Linked DNA regions of Caenorhabditis elegans. The protein of the gene in region 2 interacts with the protein of the main gene of each other region in a pairwise test. Each region holds a gene or a part of one and is shown on either strand. Other genes may lie near its edges. The genes, in order: smo-1, figl-1, itsn-1 and T04C9.1.

What was found.
Region 1: the proteins of figl-1 (region 2) and smo-1 interact in a two-hybrid assay, tested with the Caenorhabditis elegans proteins (3 studies listed by BioGRID).
Region 3: the proteins of figl-1 (region 2) and itsn-1 interact in a two-hybrid assay, tested with the Caenorhabditis elegans proteins (2 studies listed by BioGRID).
Region 4: the proteins of figl-1 (region 2) and T04C9.1 interact in a two-hybrid assay, tested with the Caenorhabditis elegans proteins (2 studies listed by BioGRID).

What each region holds. Positions count from the first base shown.
Region 1 is NC_003279.8:1,338,890-1,341,809, reverse strand, and holds smo-1 (Small ubiquitin-related modifier), read right to left. Parts: upstream 1,133-2,920; 5' UTR 1,108-1,132; coding exon 1,042-1,107; intron 986-1,041; coding exon 885-985; intron 835-884; coding exon 726-834; 3' UTR 545-725; downstream 1-544. Other genes in the region: K12C11.1 (Xaa-Pro dipeptidase), read left to right, coding at 174-455; K12C11.7 (Copper transport protein), read right to left, coding at 2,100-2,179, 2,244-2,380, 2,440-2,534, 2,815-2,920. UniProt on the Caenorhabditis elegans protein: Ubiquitin-like protein which can be covalently attached to target lysines as a monomer. Does not seem to be involved in protein degradation and may function as an antagonist of ubiquitin in the degradation process.
Region 2 is NC_003283.11:4,340,915-4,347,857, forward strand, and holds figl-1 (Fidgetin-like protein 1), read right to left. Parts: upstream 5,086-6,943; 5' UTR 5,083-5,085; coding exon 4,499-5,082; intron 3,796-4,498; coding exon 3,364-3,795; intron 2,353-3,363; coding exon 1,722-2,352; intron 851-1,721; coding exon 713-850; 3' UTR 517-712; downstream 1-516. Other genes in the region: glrx-3 (Glutaredoxin 3), read right to left, coding at 151-393; hpo-18 (ATP synthase subunit epsilon, mitochondrial), read right to left, coding at 5,295-5,330, 5,378-5,506; mcm-7 (DNA replication licensing factor MCM7), read left to right, coding at 6,284-6,385, 6,434-6,943. UniProt on the Caenorhabditis elegans protein: Has a role in spindle assembly which acts in the progression through mitosis during embryogenesis. Required for fertility.
Region 3 is NC_003282.8:17,118,108-17,125,702, forward strand, and holds the start of itsn-1 (Intersectin-1), read left to right. Parts: upstream 1-1,574; 5' UTR 1,575-1,576; coding exon 1,577-1,726; intron 1,727-1,777; coding exon 1,778-2,362; intron 2,363-2,845; coding exon 2,846-3,307; intron 3,308-3,454; coding exon 3,455-3,679; intron 3,680-3,719; coding exon 3,720-4,356; intron 4,357-5,137; coding exon 5,138-5,508; intron 5,509-6,094; coding exon 6,095-6,411; intron 6,412-7,311; coding exon 7,312-7,595. Other genes in the region: uaf-2 (Splicing factor U2AF 35 kDa subunit), read right to left, coding at 1-292, 344-436.
Region 4 is NC_003281.10:5,991,529-5,996,223, reverse strand, and holds the start of T04C9.1 (Rho GTPase-activating protein 26), read right to left. Parts: upstream 3,006-4,695; 5' UTR 2,951-3,005; coding exon 2,797-2,950; intron 2,720-2,796; coding exon 2,624-2,719; intron 2,039-2,623; coding exon 1,749-2,038; intron 1,340-1,748; coding exon 1,240-1,339; intron 835-1,239; coding exon 773-834; intron 723-772; coding exon 648-722; intron 589-647; coding exon 510-588; intron 1-509. Other genes in the region: T04C9.2 (uncharacterized protein), read right to left, coding at 3,994-4,344.

The DNA.
Region 1 (2,920 bases), on a different chromosome or scaffold from region 2:
TCCCACGGGAGTAAATTTTTCGGAAAAATCGATAATTTTTTGAGTTTTGAGCTGTTAAAGCATGCAAAATGCCGAAATTTTATCGAAAAGTAGAAAAATTAGCCCCGCGGAGCTGGAAAATCCAGAAAACCTCAATTTTTCCGAATTTTCACGTAAAAATCGATATCTTCCAGGCAATCACCATCGAACCCGGCTGCTATTTCATTGATTTCCTGCTCAACGAGGCGCTCGCCGACCCGAAAAAGAGCGAATTCCTCGTCAAATCCGAAATCGACAAGTACCGCGGATCAGGCGGCGTCCGTATCGAGGATGACGTCATCATTCGTGCTTCTGGTAACGAGAATCTGAGCGATCTTCCACGAACCGTCGAGGAGATCGAGAACTTCATGGCTAGTGGAGGCGAATGGACGGAGAAGGTCATCGAATCTCGTGTCTCTGATTTCTTGTCCAAGTGATTTTTTGTCTACTGATTCTAATTTATCATCATTCCTACTACTATTACTGTGTTATTTTTTCATGTAAAATAAAATTTAATTTTTAAAAATTTGGGATTTTCCGAAAACGAAGAGTTTATTTGTAAGATAAATAAGTTATTTTAAACTTTTTTGGTTGTATAATATGATTCGAAATGTGGAAAATAGATTAAATGAGACAGAGAAACCGAGTATCTCAGTGGAAAAGGGATGGATGGGTGTTTGTTTTCGGATTAGAGTGTAGGTAGAGGACTAGAATCCGCCCAGCTGCTCTTGGTAGACCTCGATGACGTCATCGTCCTCCATCTCGAGCGTCTTCGGTGTGTCATCGTCGTTGATGCGACGTCCGTCGAAGAGGAAACTGCAAATATTTAAAGTTGATAGGAATTGGCGCGGATTTCCAAAACTCACCGAAGACTGTTGACGGCGACACCGGTTCTGTCAGCGTACGACTTCTTCAGCTTGGCCATAGAGGTTCCATACTTTACACGGAAGTGCACTTCGTTGCTGTCCTGCAATTTTTTTGGGAATTATTAACAAATTCGCGGCGAATTTCCAGTCAAATTACCTGTCCAACGACCTTGATCTTGATGTATTCGGCGTTGTCGCCTGCTTGAGCTGCATCATCGGCCATCGTTTATAGCGGGAGTCTCTGAAACGAAATTAGATTTGAAAAGAGAAAAAGAGATAGAAGGAGAGAGGTAGAGTTGCTATGGAGAATGCAACTCACACGAGTGAAAGGTATTAAGAGTGCAGAATGATGACTTTCTAGGGTATTTATATAGACGCTGTAACAAATAAAATCGATAATTACAGAACAGCTGGCTGAGCCACAAGATGCTTGAAAAATTAGGAATATCGATTGTCTGGGGAGCGCTGCGCTGAGAATTTCAAGAATATCACTGCGAAATTCAGAAAAAAAACCCATTTTTCTCAAGGAAATCCTTTTTTTTAGGATATCCAGTTCCTATCAAGTTTTCTACGTGGTTTTTCAGCGAAATTGACGAAATTTAGAAGCAAAACTTAATTAAACGCATCGCGACCGGAGAAAGAAGGCAAAAATAAATGAAAACACACGAAATGAGCCGAAAAATCGGGCAATACGCGCCTAAAAACCTTTTCGAAATGATTTCCCGCGTTGCAGAGTGTGCATGTTCACGCCGCGGTGTTTGCACACAATGCACCGCATTTCACGAGCAACACGAGGGTACGGTAGATTTTGGACAGGTTTTTGACCAAATTTGGTGCTTTTTGGACTGAAAAAATAAGAGATTTCGGCCTAAAATAGATAAATTGGTGAATTATTTGAGTTTTCAACGAAAAAAATGTTTTGAACAAGTTTTCGGAACAAAATTCAAGGTTTTCGCTTGGTTTTTGAGGAAAAACTCTAAAAATACCGTTTTCCAATATGTAACAAGGCAAACTGGATTTTAAAATATAATTTTAAGCTAAAAACTACAAAAACAATTGTTAATGAGCATTTTAGGCCAAAAAGCGATCGATTTAATTCGCGCGGTATCGTCAGGTCTCATCGTGAAATTGCAAGCGCGCTCTAATGTGAATATCGATTTTTCTTTATTAAAAATATATTCAAATTTAATGCTTTATACATATTTATGAAATCAATTAAGAACAGCAATTTCCAGTGTTTTCGACCTCCTTAACCGTCATCAACGGGCCAACGAAGAAATATCCGATGGCGTGGCCTAAAATTTACGAATTTTAAGCTTTTCTTCTAAAAATTCAAAAAAAAAAAAAAATAAATAAAACCTGCTAAAAGCGAGAAAAATAGCGGATAATTATATGTCATTGCTACCAGCATCAACGAATAATCCACAAAATTTTGAAGAAAAAATAGAAAAGAAGACGCAAAATGTCTCCAACTTGAGATGGATTCCATTGTAAATCTGCAATTTATCACCTTTTTTCGGAATTTCGTATCCTGGAATATTTTAAGCCAACTCACGGAGCCAACGATGCCAGTTTGCCACGTGGCGACGGCTCAGGCTCTTCCGGAATCTCCCAAATGCCTTCAGGCGTTGAGCAACAGCAATCGACGGCCTACAATTTTTTTTTTGGAATTCAGGAATTCCCGAAAAATAAAACACGGGTTTCTGGCTTCCCTCATAATTTGAAATGGAAGAGTTTTTGCCGAATTAGGCCATTTTGGCTCGGCCATATCTGGCGGCGCGTAGCGGCTCAATTTTAGTTGAAAAACTAAATGTGATTTGTCCGTGTGGAGTACACGACTTTCCCGTCCGGCAGGCGATTGTCAATGGAGCGCGAAAAATTCAATGAGGAAGGCCAGAACCCCCGTGATAAAATTTTAACAAAAAATCACCAATTTTTCCTTCACAGTTCTCGTCATTCTTTGCCTTCCGAATTTCAGCAATTCCAGGCAAAACGCGATGAAAAATAGGGAAATACAGGAGAAAACGTAGCCTGTG
Region 2 (6,943 bases):
TAACGAAAAAATGATTTCAAAATGTGGTTTTCAGTGGTTTTTAACGTTTTTCAATGACTTTTTTCCTAAAAAAAAGTTCAGAATAAATCGAAACTTTTCTTTGTTTTTTTTCACAAATTTCAATTTCTTGTTTTTTCGTTGCTCACTTACACTAAAAAATACAAGCGTCGGCGCAGCAGTAATCTTGAAATTCAACGAAATTCCGGGCAAAGCTTCAGCGTCAATGAAGGCGGCACGAAGCGGCAGAGCAATTTCAGCGAGCAAATCATCCAGTAGCTGATTAACTTGCTCACAGCTTGGAGCCCACGATGCGTAGAAATGAAGAACAGCTGGAGATGGTTCCTTAATGAACGCAGCAACCTCCTCTCCTGACTTGATTTCTTGAATTGGCATTCTGGAATTTTTTGGCTGGCAATGGTAAAAAGCTAGAAATTTGAATAAAAAAATTAAAAAAATATACGAGAAAGGTAAAATAAACCTTGAAATTTCAATAATGAATAATGAAAAATATGTTTAAAAATTGAAAATATATAATAATTTTCAGAAAAAATATAAAAAAAAACAATGAAATACGGATCGTTTTGAGATCATAATATAGAAAAGAGATGGAATGCATAATACAGGAGAAGATTTCAATGAAAATAAAAATAAATAAATAGAAGAAGTGGATGGAATTATAGTACACATATTCGACAGCTCAATTCTGAAGGTCTCAACGGGATATTGAAGGAGGTGGAAGGCAACCGAATTTTTTGTCCCAAGCCGCGTAGGCATCCAATTGAGAATCGTCGACTGTTGGCCGAACGACACGAGCTGCTTCGGCGAAATCCATTACAGTAACGGCACGAATCTGAAATTTTCATCGATTAGTTGATTAAAACCGGAGCATTTGATGTTTCAGAGCTCGAGTGTTTATCTAATTTTTATGATGACCGAGTGCAAAAATAGAAAATAAATGTGACAATTCGTACGGCAAATGGTAAATAAAAAATAATAAGATTCGTCAGTCATGTGAGAGAGTTGCGAAATTGTTTGTTGTTGTGGCATGACATTTCATAAATTTTCGAAAAGTGTTCATTTTCGGAACATGGAGGTGTTTTATTATGTGGACGGAGGAAAATGAGATTTTTTAAATTGAGGTGCAATCGCGCTCTAACGCTAAACATTGGGTCTCGTTATGTATAAGAGGAACATTAAATTTATATAATGCGTATTGTGCAACATATTTGACGCGCAAAATATCTCATAGCGAAAACTACAGTAACTCTCTAAATGTCTAATGTAACTCTTGTGTCGATTTACGAGATTCATTGTTTCGAAAATCGTACCCGTAAATCGACACACGCGCTACAGTAGTCATTTAAAGAATCACTGTAGTTTTCGCTACGAGATATTTTGCTCGTCGAATATGTCGTGCAGTACGCATTCTCCGAATTCAGTGTTACCGTAATATTGGCGGCAAATTCAAGTTTTTAATTCGATTTTACTGAAATCATCCGTTTATATGCATTTTTTGATTTATTTTCAGTTGCTTTCTGGTTTTCATGCCGAAATGATTCTTGAAAATGCACGTGAAGCTTCGATATTAACGCATAATCAAAAGCAATGGGATTTTTTTTCTTCCTAACGAGACCCAGCATTATGAGGCGGGGCAATTTCAATTGGCCGTGGAGCGCGATTACACCGATCACAAGTGTTTGATATTAATTCAGAATCCTCACATCATCCTTATCAATCGTCTCAATATCGTCTCCAATGTCTCTGATAGGACCCATCGCTGCTTCAGTGCACAATTGCCTCATGTCAGCTCCAGAATAGCCGTCTGTAAGCTCTCTAATCCGCTCCAAATTATGATTTGTGATATCATGACGCGTGCCTACAAGTAGATTCTGCACAATTTGTGTGCGCGACTCTGGCTCCGGAAGCGCAATGTACAGTCGCTTCTGGAAGCGTCGACGAGCAGCTTCATCCAACTCTTGTGGCCGATTTGTGGCACCCAATACAAGAAGCCGTTCATCTGGAGCCGTATTCACACCATCCAACTGTACCAGGAACTCTGTCTTGATGCGCCGTGAAGATTCGTGTTCCGATTCCGACCGGGATGATAGTAACGAGTCGATCTCATCGATGAAGATAACACTCGGAAGTTTCAGACGAGCAACTGAGAACAGAGCACGAACAAGCTTTTCACCTTCTCCAACCCATTTTGAGGTTAACGACGATGCTGAAATATTGAAGAAAGTGGCTTTGCACTGGGAAGCGACACATCTCCCGATCATTGTTTTTCCGGTTCCTGGTGGTCCGAATAGAAGAACACCTTTCGGTGGAGCACGGATTCCGGTGAAGACGTCACTGAAAAAAATTATAATTGTCAATTAAATTTTTGGAGGATTTTTTAAATTGCTTTATTAGACTCAAAATTGTCTGAAAACACCGAATTTTATAATGAAACTTCTTGAAAAATTCTCAAAAAAAAGTTATGACGGCTCAAAAAATGGCTTAAAATTAGTTAAAATTTGAAATTTGACTTGTCAGCGGATGGAAACAATTTTTTTGAAATCACCGTAAAATTTTGAGTATACAGGTCAATTATCTTGCGTTTTCAACTCGATTTAGGTATTTTAAAGTCGATGGACGGCGAGATTAAAATTGTTTTTTTTTACCAAATCTCGCCGTCCATCGACTTTAAAATACCTAAGTGAAGTTGAAAACGCAAGATAATTACATTACATACTCAAAATTTGACGGTGATTTAAAAAAAATTGTTTCCAGCCGCTGCGACATTGACAAGTCGGTCAAATTTCAAATGTTAACTAATTTTAGGACATTTTTTAAGCCTTCATAACTTTTTTTTGAGAAGTTTCCAAGTAGTTTCATCATAAAATTCGGTGTTTTCAGATAATTTTGAGTCTAATAATGCAATAAAAAATTCGACTACACCACCTTTAAAGGAGGTTTTTTTGCGTGTATAGACTAAAAGCACAAAATAAGCGTTCAAAACCTCGTAAAAATAGCTAATTTTATCTAAAATCTCGAATTTCGTCTATTTTTCCTGTCCGCATCAGCTGAAACACTATTTTATTGAATTATCATCCTTTTTAGCATCTTTTGGTGGTTTATATCACATTTTTTCGTCAATTTAGGTTCATTTAAGTCGATAAAAAATTAAACAATTAAATTAAAAACACCTATCGGCTTTAAGTGTACCTACGTCAACAAAATAATGTGAAATAAACCACCAAAAAAAGTGGAAAAGTTGACAAAAAACGAGATTTTAACCAATTTCAGCCATTTTTGAGCACTTTATGAGTCTGAGCAAGCTAAAAACCCGAAAAACCCTTTTTTTCTCCTTTCAGAACGTACGGTCTTTTAAATGGCAGTACAACAATCTCCCGTAATGCTTTTTTCGCTCCTTCCAATCCAGCAACATCAGCCCATCCGATCTCATTGTTCACAGACATAATTTCCGATTCAATCAATGAAATGATATTTTCATCAAAGTGCTTTAGCGTTGGCTCAGCTCTCAATCCACTCATTTTTTCATCTTTTCCACCTCCTTCCGTATCCATTCCCATCGCCTTTCTGATGAGCGGATTGGAGCATCGTTTCGGGATATCCGGTGCTCTTCTGGCCGGTGGTATCCCTGCCAAGCTTCCAATCGATTGGGAACTGGATTGACGATCCAGAGGCACTTGGAACTTGCTATTCTGTGGATCCTGGCCGGCTGCAGTCGTAAATGATGGATAGAGGGTTCCGAGGGTATTTTGGATAGCTGCTCGGTTTTTCGTAGGTGCTCTGAAACGACGCTTTCATTTTTAAAAAAATCGATTAATATTACGGGAACACAAAATTCTGAGAATGCGTACTGCGCAACATATTCGACGCGCAAAATATTCTTTTTATGACTACTGTAGCGCTTGTGTCGATTTACGGGGGCTCGATTCTCGGAAAAAAAACAAAATTTTCGAATTTTGACAGCGATACTCAATTTTTCTTCGTTTTTTTTTCGAATACCATGGTCATTTTTGTGCTTATTTTTAATATTTTATCTATTAATAAATTACTTTAATTGCAAAAAACTCCAATTTTGGCGTTTTTTTGATGAGTAAGCTCATACAGGCGTATTTTTATATTATTTCCCGCCTATTACGGCAATAAACGGGAAATAGTGTTAAAAAAACGCTTGTGGAGTATTAGAGTATTATCATCAAAATGACGCGAATATTGGAGTTTTTTCAATTAAAATAATTTATTAATGGAAAAAAAATATTAAAAATAAGCACAAAAATGATAAAGGAATAGGAAAAAAACGAAGAAAAATTGAATATCGCTATCAAAATTCGAAAAATGTGTCTTTTTCCGAGAATCAAGCCCGTAAATCGACACAAGCGCTTCATTTAAAGAATTACTGTAGTTTTCTTTTTCGCTACGAGATATCTTGCGCGTCAAATATGTTGTGAAATACGCATTCTCAGAATTTCGTGATCTCTTAACGAACCTGGTCTTCTTAAAGTGCGGATTTGAAGCCACCTCGATGCCTTTCAGCGTATTTTCATGCATTTGCCGAATAAAATTCGGATCAGTTCTTCTAGCATTTGTAGGATCCACTATATCGCAGATTTTGTCTCTGATTTTCGTCACTTTATCGTCGCTTCCAAAATCGAAGCCTCGCATTGTGAACGGCTCTTCTCGGCGTTTTTCCTCCTTTGGTTTCGGAATTTCGCCAAGTTTGAAGCTGCTTTTCTCGCCAAGAAACGGTCGACTTTTGAGCTTCCGGGTGTCTTGTTTTTGTGAAAACGACACATCAACGGTTCTATCTTCGTCTTCATCAATTATTATCCCGTCTAGCTCGTCATCCAGACCATTTTGTTGAGAACGAGATTTGAATGGAGGCTGCTGCTGAGCTGAATCCGAAGGTGTCTCCACGACTATTTTTCGACGGGGTTTTCCGATAAAATACGGACTAATCCCATTGCGAGCAAGAGCCGTCGGTGGGTAAAGATCATCGTTATTTTCGCCGGTTTCGGGCCGTTTTCTCATTCCACTGGTCACATTGAGTTTTACCCGTTTTGGAGAATACATAATCTGAAAATAGTGTTTTTTGACCTGAAAACCCCCACAAAAAAATATTCAAAAAGACTGGGGTAACTTGAACAACTTAAAGGCAAAGGAATAATTGAGCTTAAAATTTATATCGTCTAATAAAATAAATCATAAACAATCGGAAGTGAGAGAAGAAAGGTATGGAATGTATCCAAATGGAATTATTCGAATACTGTTGTGCGATCATTTGTCTACTTTTGCTGCTTTCCATTTTCCCATGTGGTGATCTGAAAAATTCGTGTTAAAACTTGAATAATAAGGCGTATTTAATCACCTTGAGAGTTGCCTCTGGCTTCTTAACAGCGGCCTTTCCTCCGACTTGCTTGGTGCACTTGCGGGTGATCTCGGCAGCGATTTGCGAGTAACGCACGTAGTTGAGTCCAGCGGCTCTCCAGGCGACCATTTTCTGAAAAACATGAATAAAAAAGAAATATTGGAAAAAAGCGACTAATTTTGCACAAGAAAACAAAGAAAAACCGCAATTTTACTAATGAAATCTATCGATTTTAGCAATTAGAAAAGCTATTTTACAATTTGCGATTAAAAAACATTAATTTCATCTAAAAACAGCCAAAAATCAATGAAAAATCACAATTCTACTCTTGAAACAAAAAATGTGTCGTTTCTGCAGCAATTTATCGATTTTCGAAATTATAAAAGCTATTTTACAATTTGCGATTAAAATGTACATTAATCCCATCTAAAAACTAACAAAAAACCAAGAAAAACCACAATTTTACTGATGAGACAAAAAAAAACATTTTTTCTCAGAATTGCCTGTCGTTTCTGCAGCAATTTATCGATTTTAGCAATTATTTTACCAATTTTAATTAAAATAAACATTAATTCCATCTAAAAACAACCAAAAATCAATGAAAAAACGAACAATTTTCTTTAAAAACAGCTAAAAATGGCACAGTCCATGTCGGAAAAATATAAGTTAAAGGCGCATAGACTTTCGCACTCTGGTGGGTCTCGCAACGACATGAAGGAGGCAAACGCGCGAAATTCGAACGGACGACGCTGCCATCTGCCGCACATTCCTTCACTCTCTCGCTCATTTATTATCGGTTTTGTGCTACAAGAGCAGCTTTTTTCGCGATTTTTTCAGTTTTTCCAATTAAAAAATAAAATTTCCATCATTTCAGCCCGGCTCTATAATCCTATAATCTCACTCACCATGAAAACCACCACTTACAACACAGACTGGGCTGCCGAGAAGACGAAAATTCGCAGTTTCTTCGACGAATACTATGTGGACAATGAGGACGGATCTGGAAAGGTATTCCCGAATTTGGTGTATAAATGAGTATTTAAATTCAACTTTTAGGCATTCCCATATCGTGATCAAGTCTTTGAAATTGCTCGCCGCGACAAGCAGGCAATCGTTGTGAATGTTGACCATATTAAGGAATCTGATATTCCAGATGCTCTTGAACTCTCAGAAGCCATTACTTCCAATACAAAGAGATACGAAGTCCTGTTCAAGGACACAATTTCGGATATGATCCAGGACTATCTCGGAGACAAGCAAGCGCCAGTAATCGATGCTCTTGATGCCTACATGTTCCAGCGTCTTCATATGGATAGGAACGAGGGAGCCGCCAACGAGGAAGTTTCTCTTCAGGACAAACGCAAGAAATACCCACCACAGCTCCTTCAACGCTTCGAGGTCTACTTCACAACGGACGATGCCGCCCATGAAACGTGTGTCCGAAACATCAAAGCCACCGAGATCGGGCACTTGGTCTCCATGAAGGGAGTTGTTATCCGTGCGACCGAGGTGAAACCTTGTGTTGAAGTCATGACCTACACTTGCGATACTTGTGCCGCCGAAGTC
Region 3 (7,595 bases), on a different chromosome or scaffold from region 2:
CCTTCATAAATTTGACGTATACGTTTCCGACCATGTGTTCTCCGATATTCTCACAAACGTTGATCTCCTCCACTTCTCCATATTTTCGCTCCATCTCCACAAAAACCTCCTCGTAGAAATCGTCAAAATAGCGCTGTTCCTGATCATTCCGCTTGCCGACTTTATCGAAAGCATCCGCCTGACGGACATCCACTACCGGATTGTGGTAGAAGTTTTTGAGCACAACTGTTGGCGAGAATGTCGGTGTATGATGGGCTCTGGAGCATTTGTCTCCGTGGCGGCAGGCTCCTGTCTGCAAAAATTATTTAATTATTGAATTTTTTCACAGAAATCCACAACAAACCTTGAAGAAAAACGAGCAATTGACTTTATCCTTCTCAGTACCATAGATTGAGGCCAGGTACTCGGCTCCGGAGAGCCCGTCACCATACGACATTGGGATTCACTAAAAAAAATGATTTTTGACGAAAAATTCAATTTCAGCGGGAAAACCCTGAGAATTACGATTTTTAAACACAAATTCTGACGGAAATACTTCAGAATACAACGTAAAACTCAAAATATCAAGAATTCAATGCAAAAAACAAACTGCGAACCTGAAACAGATAGAAAATGGAAATAATAACCAACTGCCCTGCTAAATTCGAAAACGCAACGAGGCACGCTTTTGTGGGCGGGGCGAGCGTCGGCAAGGTGAGCGCGCGCGTTTTTCTAGCGTTTTCTCTATTTTTCTTTTTTTCTCCCATGACCAGAGATTAATAAATAAGTTGAAATTTAAGTGAATTTCTCTTCAATTTTCCGCGATTATACCGATTAATTCATGCACCAAGGCTGAAAGAACATTTAAAAATCAATTGGAGCTCAAAATTATTTGGAGAAAACTCAAGAATACGAGATTTTTCACTCTAAAACTAAAATTTGTTCTTAAAATGCAAAGTTTTAAATGAAAAAAAAAACATTGATTTTTTTAAATATATAAAAAAGGGGTTTTTGATTCCTTTAAAATTCTCTGCGTCTCTTGCATCTCTCGCCGCGCGCTCTCGGGGACCACTCCTCTTTTGGGGCACGCAAAAATCGATAAGCTTTCGGCGGCGCTTGGCCTCTTTCTTATTTCTTCTTATTTCTCAGTTCCTGAATCCAAATTTACAGAAATTTCGGCGCATTTTCTCTTTTTGTTGCGAAATTCGCATTTTTAGCGTTTTTAATCGAAAAACCCCCAATTGACAAATCCGTGGGAAGTTTACATAGAAATTTCCAGCTAAATTAGGGAAAAATCACGAATTTTAGCCAAAAAATTACATTTTATTGAGCCGCCTCGCTCGCCGGCCGCGCCGCGCCGCGGCCAATTTTTACAGAAATGGCCGAGAGGGAACCTAGGCCACGGCCACGACCGCGACGCAGCTGGCGAGCGGAGCGGCTCAAAAAAATCTATTGTTTGCCCAAAAACATGTGTTTTTTCATCATTTTCGCTGATTCTTCGCATAAATTTCCAGTTAAATTAGAAAAATATGGCTCGTTTTTTCCCTTTTTTGTTGCGAAATTCCCATTTTTTGTCGAAAAATCCCCTGTTCTCCAGATGACAAATCCTTGGGAAGTTTCCGATGCCGAATATCAGAAGAATTTCGCAATGTTCGGCCAATTAACCGGAGGACAACCGTTTATGGATGCGGTCACTGCACGAAATGCACTAATGCGCAGCAATCTGCCAACGCAAGTGCTTTCTCAGGTTGATATTAAACTTTAAAAAAAAAAATGTTTTTATTCAAACAATTTCCAGATCTGGGCGCTGTCAGACTTGGATAAAGACGGCCGGCTCGATATTCGTGAATACTCTATCGCGATGCGACTTGCTCTGAATTGTCTTGCCGGAATTCCGATTCCTCCGCAACTTCCGCCTTCCCTGCTGGTAGTTCCCGCCAGAAATGCTCCACCAACCTGGCCTGGAAGCCGGCATGGCAGTGTAGACTACTCACAAACTCTTCCACCGGCCATTGATCGTCGAATGTCGCAGTCATACATCCCATCTGCACCGGTTTCGATTGCCGGAACTCCATCTAGCAGACACAACTCGATTTCAGCTGGAAGCCCTTTGAATAATGATCGCAATGTCTTCGAAGGCCGGCAGCTGGAAAACTGGGCGATTCCTCACCACAATAAATTAAAATATTCTCAATTGTTTAATGCTCTCGACAAGGAACGTCTGGGCTCCCTGAGCTCACAAGTCGGACGGAGTGCTCTCGGGCTTTCAGGCCTTCCTACCAATGTTCTCGCGCATATCTGGTTTTTGTCAGATGTGAATAAGGATGGAAAGCTATCAGTGGATGAGTATGCGATTTCTCAGTATATGATTGAAATGTTCAAAGTATGTGTTTTGTTACCGGCCAGAAGCTCTTTATTCAAAAATTGCACTTTTTCCATGAAAATCCAACTTTTCTGATCTAAAATTGATATAAAAATGTAGAAAAAGGTTCTTTCCATCTGAAAATATTGTATTTTTCATGTTTTTTCAACAAAAATAAGGAATATTTTCAATTTTATTTGTCAAAAACTTGGAATTTCAAAATAAAAAGTCAAGCCACGTGGACGCTCCTCCCACTTTGCAACATGCGGCGCGAGTTTTCGCAACACTGCCGCACGGTTGTATTTTCTTCACGAATTATAGTTTTTCAGTGAATTTTACAGGATTTTTCAACGTTTTGCTTGTTTTTTTCAGCAAAATTTCATGTTAAAACGCTGAAAAATCTCAAAATTTCAAATTTTTCTGTACGAAAATCGGAAAATACCCTAAAATCATGAAACACCATAAAAATTTCCGCTGAAAAACTTAAAAAAATTTTTTTTTCAGAGTGGATTCGCGCTTCCAAAAATAACCCCGCTGGAACTTGTCCGGATGTGCGGAATCTCATCAAGATCAGCCAACAATACCCCTGAACTCGAACCAGGAGCGGAGCCACCACAAAAGTCACCAGCTCCGAAAACTTTTGAAGATAAGCGACAGGATAACCTATCTAAAGGTCAGGCAGAACTGGAGAGACGACGTAGAGTTCTTGAAGAAGAGGAGCAACGAAGACGAGCAGAAGTAGAGAAGAAAGAGAGAGAAGAAGAAGCGAAGAAAAATAGAGAAAGACAAGAAAAGGAACGACAGGCTGAAGTTGAGCGGCAAGCTGAACTAGAAAGACAGAGAATAATTGAAGCTCAACGGGAGGAAGAGGAGAAGAAGCGGAGGCTAGAGATGGAGAGACGCAGAGAGGAGGACGAGAAAATGAGAAAAGTTCAAATGGAGAAGGCGAAAGTTAAACAGATGCAGGTACAGATGCCTGAACAGAAAAAATGGAATTTTTATGTGGATTCTAGGCGATTTTTTGAGTTTTTCTTTTGAAAATTGAACTTTTGGAACACAGAAATTTTATTTACTCATGATAAAAAAAAACCAAATTTAAATCCCTAATTTCAGAACCAGAAGCAACAAGAGAACGAGCGTCTTGCACAACGTCAGCAACGAGAAAAAACGCTGCAATTTCAATTACAAGCACTTGATGAGAAGGTTATCGATGTTGAAGTGGACATTGGAAAAGCCAAAGAAGCAGTAGCAGAAGTGACTGGATTTATTGAGAGAATGAGATCTACGAGAGACGAGAAAGTCGCGAGAATTAAAGAATTACAAGAGACTAATCAGAAGGTAATACGCGTTTAATCTATATGCAAATTACCCAAAAAAGTTCCAGACAGCTATCGAATCTCAAGAACTCGGCCATCAGCTTCTACAAAAACAGTCGGCTCACAAGGAGACAACGCAGAGAAAAAGTGAACTAGAAGCACTGCGAAGGAAACGAGATGCTATTCGAAAAGCTATAGAAGATGCCGCTCTGGAATTATCCACAGAAAAAGAGAAATCGTATAATCAGACGGAGATTTTAAAGACGAATAAGGAAAAGTATAAGACTGATGTTTATTCGAAACTTGTCGCAAAACGAGAAGAATATCGAAATTCGTTTGAGCTTCTGGTTCATGCTCAGACACATGCCAGGAGCAAAATTGGGGAATTTGAAGCGAAATCTGCTCCAGCTTCAGCTGCTCCAGCTCCTGCTCCTGCTCCAGCTCCTACTACCACCAACGGATTCCCTGCAAACTTCAACGATGCATTCGGAGAATTCGATAAAACCGATGCAAGTCAACGTTTCGACGCGGATTTCGGTGCCACGTCGACAGCGGATCCATTTGCTCAGATTGCTCAGGCGCCAGCTCATTCGAAGGGTGCTGTTGATCAATCGGCGTTCAATATTCATGACACTTATAAGTGTCGAGCTCTTTTTGCGTTTGAAGCAAGATCCGAGGATGAGCTCAGTTTTGAACCAGGTGCTGTCCGAACAGCAATATGTCCCTTTAAATGGCCTTTTGTTGTGTAGATTTACGAGCTTCTCCGGAAAAAGCTCGAAATTTCGGAATTCGTAGGAGAAAAAGTTTGGCATAAAATTCAGGAATTTTTAAATTTTTCCAAAAAAAAATCTGAAAAATTGCAAAATTCCACTAAAATCAAGGAATTTATCTAAAATTTTTAAGAGTTTTTCCAGAAAAAAAGCCAAAAAAAAAGAAAATTTCAATTTTTTTATTCTTATCTCTCATTTAAAATGACTTATTTAATATTTTTGAAATAGTTGCATGGAAAACAAATTAAATGCATAAAAGATGTGAAAAATTTCAGAAAATTTGAATTTTTTCGAAAAAAAAAACTGAAAAATTGCAAAATTCCACTAAAATCAAGGAATTTTACTCAAAAATTCTCAAACTGAGCTGAAAATGATTCCAAAAATTTTGAAATTTGTAGGAGAAAACGTCCAAAATTCAGGAATTTTTAAATTTTTACGAAAAATTATTGGAAAAAAGAACTATTTTTCCGCAGTTTTTTCAAAAAAATTTTGAAATTTTTCAAAAAGTTTGGATTTTTTCGTTTTTGGCAACAAAAAAAACCATCACTAATCAATGTTTACCTAAAAACCCCGTTTTTGTGAAAAAAAAACCCTTTTTTTCCCAAAAAATACCAATTTTTGTCAGAAAAAACTTAACAAAAAGTGTCATTTTTGACAAAAAAAAGGCAAAAATTCGAGAAAAAGTTAATTTTTATTTATTTTTCTTCTAGGAGACGTCATAATCGTCTTCCAATCCCATGCAGCTGAACCAGGATGGCGTGCCGGTCAACTTCGTGAGAAAGTCGGATGGTTCCCAGAAGCATTCGTCGAAGCAATCGCAGCAGTACCTACTCCAGGCGGTGATCCACCTATTCAGAATATGCCACCAAACATGACGCCGAGCTCATCAGTAGATCAAATTGGAGTGAAAGCGGCGCGGAAAGCGGAAATCGCAGCGGCAATGGGATTGACAGAAGGTGGTGCTCCACCTGCTTCAAGTGCTCCAGCAGCAGCAGCAGTAATATCTCAATGTATTGCACAATTCCAATGGAGAGCACGTAATGAGGAGGATTTGTCATTTGCAAAAGGAGATACAATTGAGGTGGAGAGCATTTTGCTGCGAAAAATCCAAAAATTGTCTGAAATTCTTGAGCTTGAACCTGAAAAAAATGAGATTTTACAAGTTTTCCGGCAGAAAATTTGAAAAATTTGAAGTTTTAAGCCAATTCTTAGGAGTTTTCAGCCTATTTTCCTGCAAAAACAGCTTGAAAATGTGATTTTGACGAATTTTTGAAAAAAAAATTGGATTTTCGGTGAAAAAATCGATTTTTAATCTATCTTTCAGCTAAATTGTATGATTTATAAAATAACCTTTTTTCCCAAAAAAAACCATTTTCCCCATAATAACTCTTTTTTCTAAAAAAAAACCTGTTTTCTACCAAAAAAAAACCCATTTTTATCAACAAAGGAACCCAAATTTTCAACAAAAAAAACCTTTTTTACCCCAAAAAAACCTATTTTTCAGCAAAAAAATGAGCGTGGTTTCTGGGGAATTTTTCCAAAAATTTGAAAAAAAATTTAGGATTTTATTCCCATTTCTTCTTTTCACGATTTTTCTTGAATTTCAGACTATTTTTTTTAGATTTTTGAAGGTACACCTTAACTCGAACTAATAACATTAATTTCAGGTACTAGAAAAGCAAGAAATGAAATGGAAAGGTCGAAATCCTGCCGGCGAAATTGGATGGTTCCCGAAAAGTTATGTGAAAGAAGTCGGAGCAACCACCAGCACCACGACTCCGATTGTGTCTCCTTCGAAGGCTTCTGCAGGAGCTCCAGGAGCAGCAGCAGGAGCTCAATACGACGTGGTACCTTCCGATGTGACATTACAAGCCTCCGAAACAGCCCCCCAACAACAACTTTACACTGTGATCTACGATTTTGAAGCTGTCGAGACAACAGATTTGGCACTGCATGTCGGTGACACAATTCTAGTGCTCGAGAAGTAAGTGGAGAGAGGAGCTCTCGCTGCTCTTGACAGGAGCTCATTTGGAATTGAATTTTTTCATTTTTTTGATAGCTTTTCGTATTCTTGCGCTATTATTATTATGCTTAAACGAAAGGTTTCGGGGTATCAATTTATTACATTTTGAACCAAATAAGCCCAAAATTTTTAAAATAATTGTTTCCAATTTTGCAAGGAAAACCCTATTTTTGGCAAAGTAACCTCAAAAAACTATTTCTTGTCCAAAAAAACCTTTTTTTTTTCAAAAAAGTCTAATTTTTGTCAGAAAAAAATCCAAAAATGTGTCGTTTTGCCAAAAACACCAAAAAAATTCCATTTTTGCAACAAAAACAGCTAAAAAATACATTTTTCCCCAGAAAAAAAATCATAAAACTCAGTTTTGCCAAAAAAAAAAACCAAACACGCGTCATGTTTACCAATAAAACTTTTTTTGTTTTAAACCGATTTTTTCAGAAAAAATCCAAAAGTGTCATTTTTAACATTAAAAAAACCTAAAAAGCTATTTTTTCAAAAAAGGCACAATTTTTCTTACTTTTGCCAAAAATGTGTCATTTTCGTCAAAAAAAACCCTGAAAAAAAAACAATTTCCAAAAAACACAATTTTTACCGAAAAAAAATTAAATTTAAAAACCAAAAAAAGCATATTTTCTCAAAAAAATTAATTTCTCCACAAAATTAAAAAAAAGCCCGACAAAATCCAATTTTTGCAAAAAAAAACCGAAATACTCTTTTTTTTCCAAAAAAACTTCATATTAAAAAAAACCCCAAAAACCCAAAAAACTTGTTTTTTAGCCAAAAAAAAATTACTTAAAAACTGAAAAACTGACACCAAAACAAAAATATCAATTTTCAGTGATTTAAATCAAAAAATAATTTCAGAAACGATGAATGGTGGAAAGGGCGTTGCAACGGACGTGAGGGTATCTTCCCAGCCAACTATGTCGAGATATCAGTCCAGCAGGCAGGGGATCCGACTCCACCAACTCAAGCTCCAACTCCAGCGGCTCCACCAACCGTCCTCTGTGAAGCTAAAGTTGTCGTGGATTTTGTTGCATCGGCGCCAAATCAATTGGGAATCAAAGTTGGCGAAATTGTGAAAATTCGTGAAAAATCAGCAGCCGGCTGGTGGGAAGGCGAGCTGATTCGAAATGGAAAACCAATCG
Region 4 (4,695 bases), on a different chromosome or scaffold from region 2:
GTATTCTTATAGCGATTTATAATTATCGACTTTCAAAAGTCTTAAAATTAATTTTTTTATCATCGAAAATTTTTGTCCTAATTTTGCAAAATTAATTGTGAATTATCTTTCAAAGTGGTTACTGTAACGCTACAAAACTGTTAAGTCTCTTGTTTTCTTTACTATCATTTTATTTTTTTCTAAATTTAAAACCACATTTCAGTAATTTTTTTAGTGAAATTTTCAAATTTCAGGCCAATTGAAAAATTGAAAATAATTTTTGGAAAAGATTTTCACAATTGAAACTGGTAATTTATTTTTTGAAAATATTAGTTAGATTTTTATAAAAAATAACAAAATCGAACGAAAAATTTTAATTTTTAAAAGAGGCTCTCATTTTGTGAAAACCGAATATTTTATTCATAAAATAATAATTTTCTGGTTGATTTTTTCTAAAATCGAGAACTTTCAGATGCATTTTTTCATTTTGAATTTTTTTAATAAACCAAATTTTGTATATAGAAACTTACTCGGAATTTTGCTCTTTTCCTGCATATACACGTATCCTTGTTTAATTGATGGCGTCGGTCGTCGATCTTCAGAACCCGGCTGTAATTTCAATAAAAATTTGCGATGAATATGAAATTCCAAAGTATGAAAAAACTTACTTTTGTATGAGAAGCCAACAGTTTTTTCTTAAGCTCTTCTGCCTCAGCATTCGTTGCATTATAATTTTCCTTTGTCTGAAATTCGATAAAATTTCGATCTGACGGGGAGAGTTTTTTAAACTAACCTTTTGAACTTTTGTTTGTACATTGTCAAGGAATGGTTTGAAATCTTGATGAATCACACTACCTGAAACAGGAAAAAGTTTTAGAAAAATGCAAAAAAAAATGATGTGTCTGGAAACCAAATTTAAAAATAATAATGCCTTTTTGTGAGTAGTTTGATTTTTTTTTCTTCATTTTCGATGATATTTCGATAATTTATAGAAAAAAAATGAAAAAATATATTTTTGTTTAATTTTTAATTTTTTTTTCATTCTGGTCGAAATTTTACATGAAATCCGAATTTCTGTAAGTGAAATAGAAAAGTTTGTGATTTAAAATAGTTAGTTTTATTTTCAAAATTATAATCGAGACAAAGTTGTCGAAAATCTGATTTTTCAAGTAATTTCTATTTTTTTTTGTGAAAAATATTCAAATTTATAAAATTTGTATAATCATTCAGAAACTTTTTTTTACCTGTACAAATACTTACCAACATGAAAAAATGAAAGCCACGAATAAACATAAGATCCTAATGTTTCGACAAACTCGAACCGCATTCGTTCTTGAACTGATTGAACTTCTGCCACATACTGTAAATTTTTTTTATTTTTTATTTTTGAGAAATTATGTTGAATATACTTTTTAACTGAAAATAGCAATTTATATTGTACTATTTCCAACGGCAAATTCTTAAAAACTTGAATTACACTATTTAGAAAAACTAAAAACGAAAACTTTTGATTTTTTTAAATTCTGAAAAGGCAGAAAGTTTTTTTTTTTTTGAAAGAAATTTTAAATTCGCAATATTTCAGAAAAAAAATTTTTTTTGTTGATTTTTTTTAATTCGAAAAACCAAAATTCCTTCGATTTTCCAAAAAAAAATTTAGAAAGAAATTTTAGTCTAAAAATAGAAAATGGCCAAAATTTCATTAATTCTGAAAATTAAAACACAAATTTTTTCCAATTTTATAATTTGAAGACAACTTTATAAACTCAAACCTGTAACGAAGCTTGAAAAAAGTTTTTCTGTTGAGTCTCCAATTGGGCATCAGCGGCTCGAAAATCGTTATTACGAACAGTACTCAGATGAAGATGTTTTTCAAGTGTTTGATAGAACTTGCTACTTTCTTTGTCATATTTATTCTTTTCCTCTTTCAATGTTCTACCAATCGCCTCAGTTCGAAACTTTTTTATTGGTTCCAAATAACTTTCTTCAGCTTGTCCAACAAGTTTCATTCGTTCATCTTCGACTTGATTGATCAGACTTCCGAATTCTTTTAGACATGTGGCTGAAAATGTGAAATATTATTTCAAAGACAATAAAAATATTTATGAAAATTAAGCATTTTGGTAAATTACAATGAGAATCACTTGCAATTTGGATTTTGTTAACTTTCGATAGATTTTTTGGGAGAAAAAACTGAAACGAATTTTTTTATTGAAGGAAACTTATAAAAATTTCAAAATTTCACGAACAATTCAGATTTCGAAGGTCTTTGTTGGAATATTGAAATTCGAGACAATTAAAAAAATTTTAAAAGAGAGTTCAACACTATTTTTTTATTGTAAAAAATATGACTTTGAAAAATTTGGCAAAAATGAACGGTTGCTACGGCAAAATACTCTTTTTTGCTATTCCTAAAAATGTTTAAAATTTTTTTTTAACTATGGTAAATTAAAAAAAATTGAAATTTAATAATTTTAAAACATTTAAAAACATGTTTTCAGCAAATTTCGATTTTTCTTGGCTGGATAATAAAATTCCGAAATTAATTTTTTTACTGCGAAATTTTTTTAAAATAAAAATGTTTTGTACTTTTTTTTTTAACATCGCGTATTTTTTTATATAAATTTTTGCTAAACAAAAGTCTCACCAATAAACCGTTCATCATCTGTCTGATTTGTTCCGACTGTTTCAAACTTGAATTCACTTAACGTCTTTGCGAATGCTCGTTGTGCTGTTGAAAGCTCTGCAATAAAAATAATTATAAATTCCACGCGATTAAATGGAAAAGTAAAGGGTCAAAAAGAGAGAAAAGCCACATACTTTTTGTGCACGCAATCAGCTCCTTGCACTGATTCTCAATGAGCTTGATGTTCTTGAAAGCGTCGTCCAGTGCCACTTCGTGATCATGCAAATTTTGTCGAAACCACGGAGAATCGGATATCGAGTCCGAAAACTCGAGCGCCCGTAACACCATTTGTGATGAGCGCAGAGTCCTAAGTAGACGGGTTTTGTCTACTGGACAAGGTGTCCTGAAATTATTTTTGATTGGAATGATTTGCAGAGATTTTCAAGAGAAAAAGCCTCAGTGATAGGCAAACATAGAGAAATGAAAAGAAAAAATTGTCTCAAAATACCACAATTTTTTCTGAAACATGAAGGAAAAGATGAGTAGAATGAGGAGAAGAAGTAAACAATTAAAAGAAAAGGAAAGAAGAACTCGCGGGGGATATGGACAAGCGAAGAGAAGAAGAAGAAGAAAAAGAAGCAAGAAACTTGATACTTGAGGCGACGAAGGAATATCTATGAGTATCTATCTATCTGCTACATGAATTCTGACACTACCAATGGAATTAGCTGATGAACCGAGCAAGAATTGATATGGAAAATGAGAAAGGTAATCAGATAAATGAAATATAAAAAGAAAATCCATCACATCATAAATTAGAATAATTATGAAGCTGCCAAAATAAAACTTCCAAGTGTGACCTATTTTACGACAAAACATAGCGTACACCTTCACAACAAATTGTCTAATCGTGCGGGAATCAACGCACATCCGGAGGATTGAAGAGGTTGCAACAATCCTGACGATGACAGATAAGAATCAAACGGCAGTGCGTCCCTCCTACGTGTAATTCTTTCGTTACCTAACGATGCGTGAGCTTCGGTTTTGAGCAAGTTCGGGCACGTCGAAAACACGAAGGCAGCCGAGTGGAAACAATTTTCGAAGAGCCCCTAACCCGGCTCATAAAGAAGAGAAGCTGGAGGAGAGAAGATGCGAGAAAAGTAGTTGTTGCTTGTGCCTCAAAAAGAAAGAAACCGAAGATGACGATGTGGGTTCCAGAAGATGATAAGGATGGGGCTAATAATGATGATTAGGTAAAAAAGAACGGAAGTTTGAGACGAAATAGAGGAAAAGGAGAAGAGAAGTCATGGCTCGGATGAGGACGAAAAAAATGTTGGAGCGACCAACAAAAATAACCAAATTTGTATAGGAGCCGAAACAAAGTTATCGCGTTATTTGTGTTGTGGCCATGCTGTTGTGTGCCATCGCCAAAGAAGGAGAGGCAGAGGAGAAGGACGAGGACTCCAACACAATTCGTCATTTTTTCTAGCTTTTCTCATTTTTTCAAAGAAGAAGGCGACGACGACGACGACAGTGATGGCGTTTATGGATGGAAGGGATGACTCTTGCCGTCTGGAACTTGTCGATCCGATTCGAATCGAAAGGAAAGGCGGACGACGACAGCGGCAACGGGAAGCAGCAATGCGGAAAAGAACAATTCTCCGGGGGGAATGAGTATATATGGGAAGAACGAGCAGTAGAAGAATGAGCGAAGAGAAGGACTGCTTCTTCTTCTTCGTCATTTTCTTTGCTCCGCTCTCGTCATTGCAATGGCACAAATACATACACACACTTGCATCCGTCCTTTCGTCTTTAGAATATATCCTAAAACGAAACACTTGACAATATCAACGCTTTCTAGTTTTTCTCAAAAAATTCGAATCATAGAAACGAACGGATGAGTCGCGGCACGGCGAACGTCAGAATATTCGAGTGGTCGACGGAAAGCGATTATGAAGAGGAAAGAAAAACGACGACAGCGGCGACGGAGGAAGAAGTAGGGGAAGAAGAAGAAGTTGACGACGTCACAAGCGGAAGAGATGGGACCGCGAAAAATTGAAGAGAATGAAAAGCAGAAAAAGATAGAAAAAAGT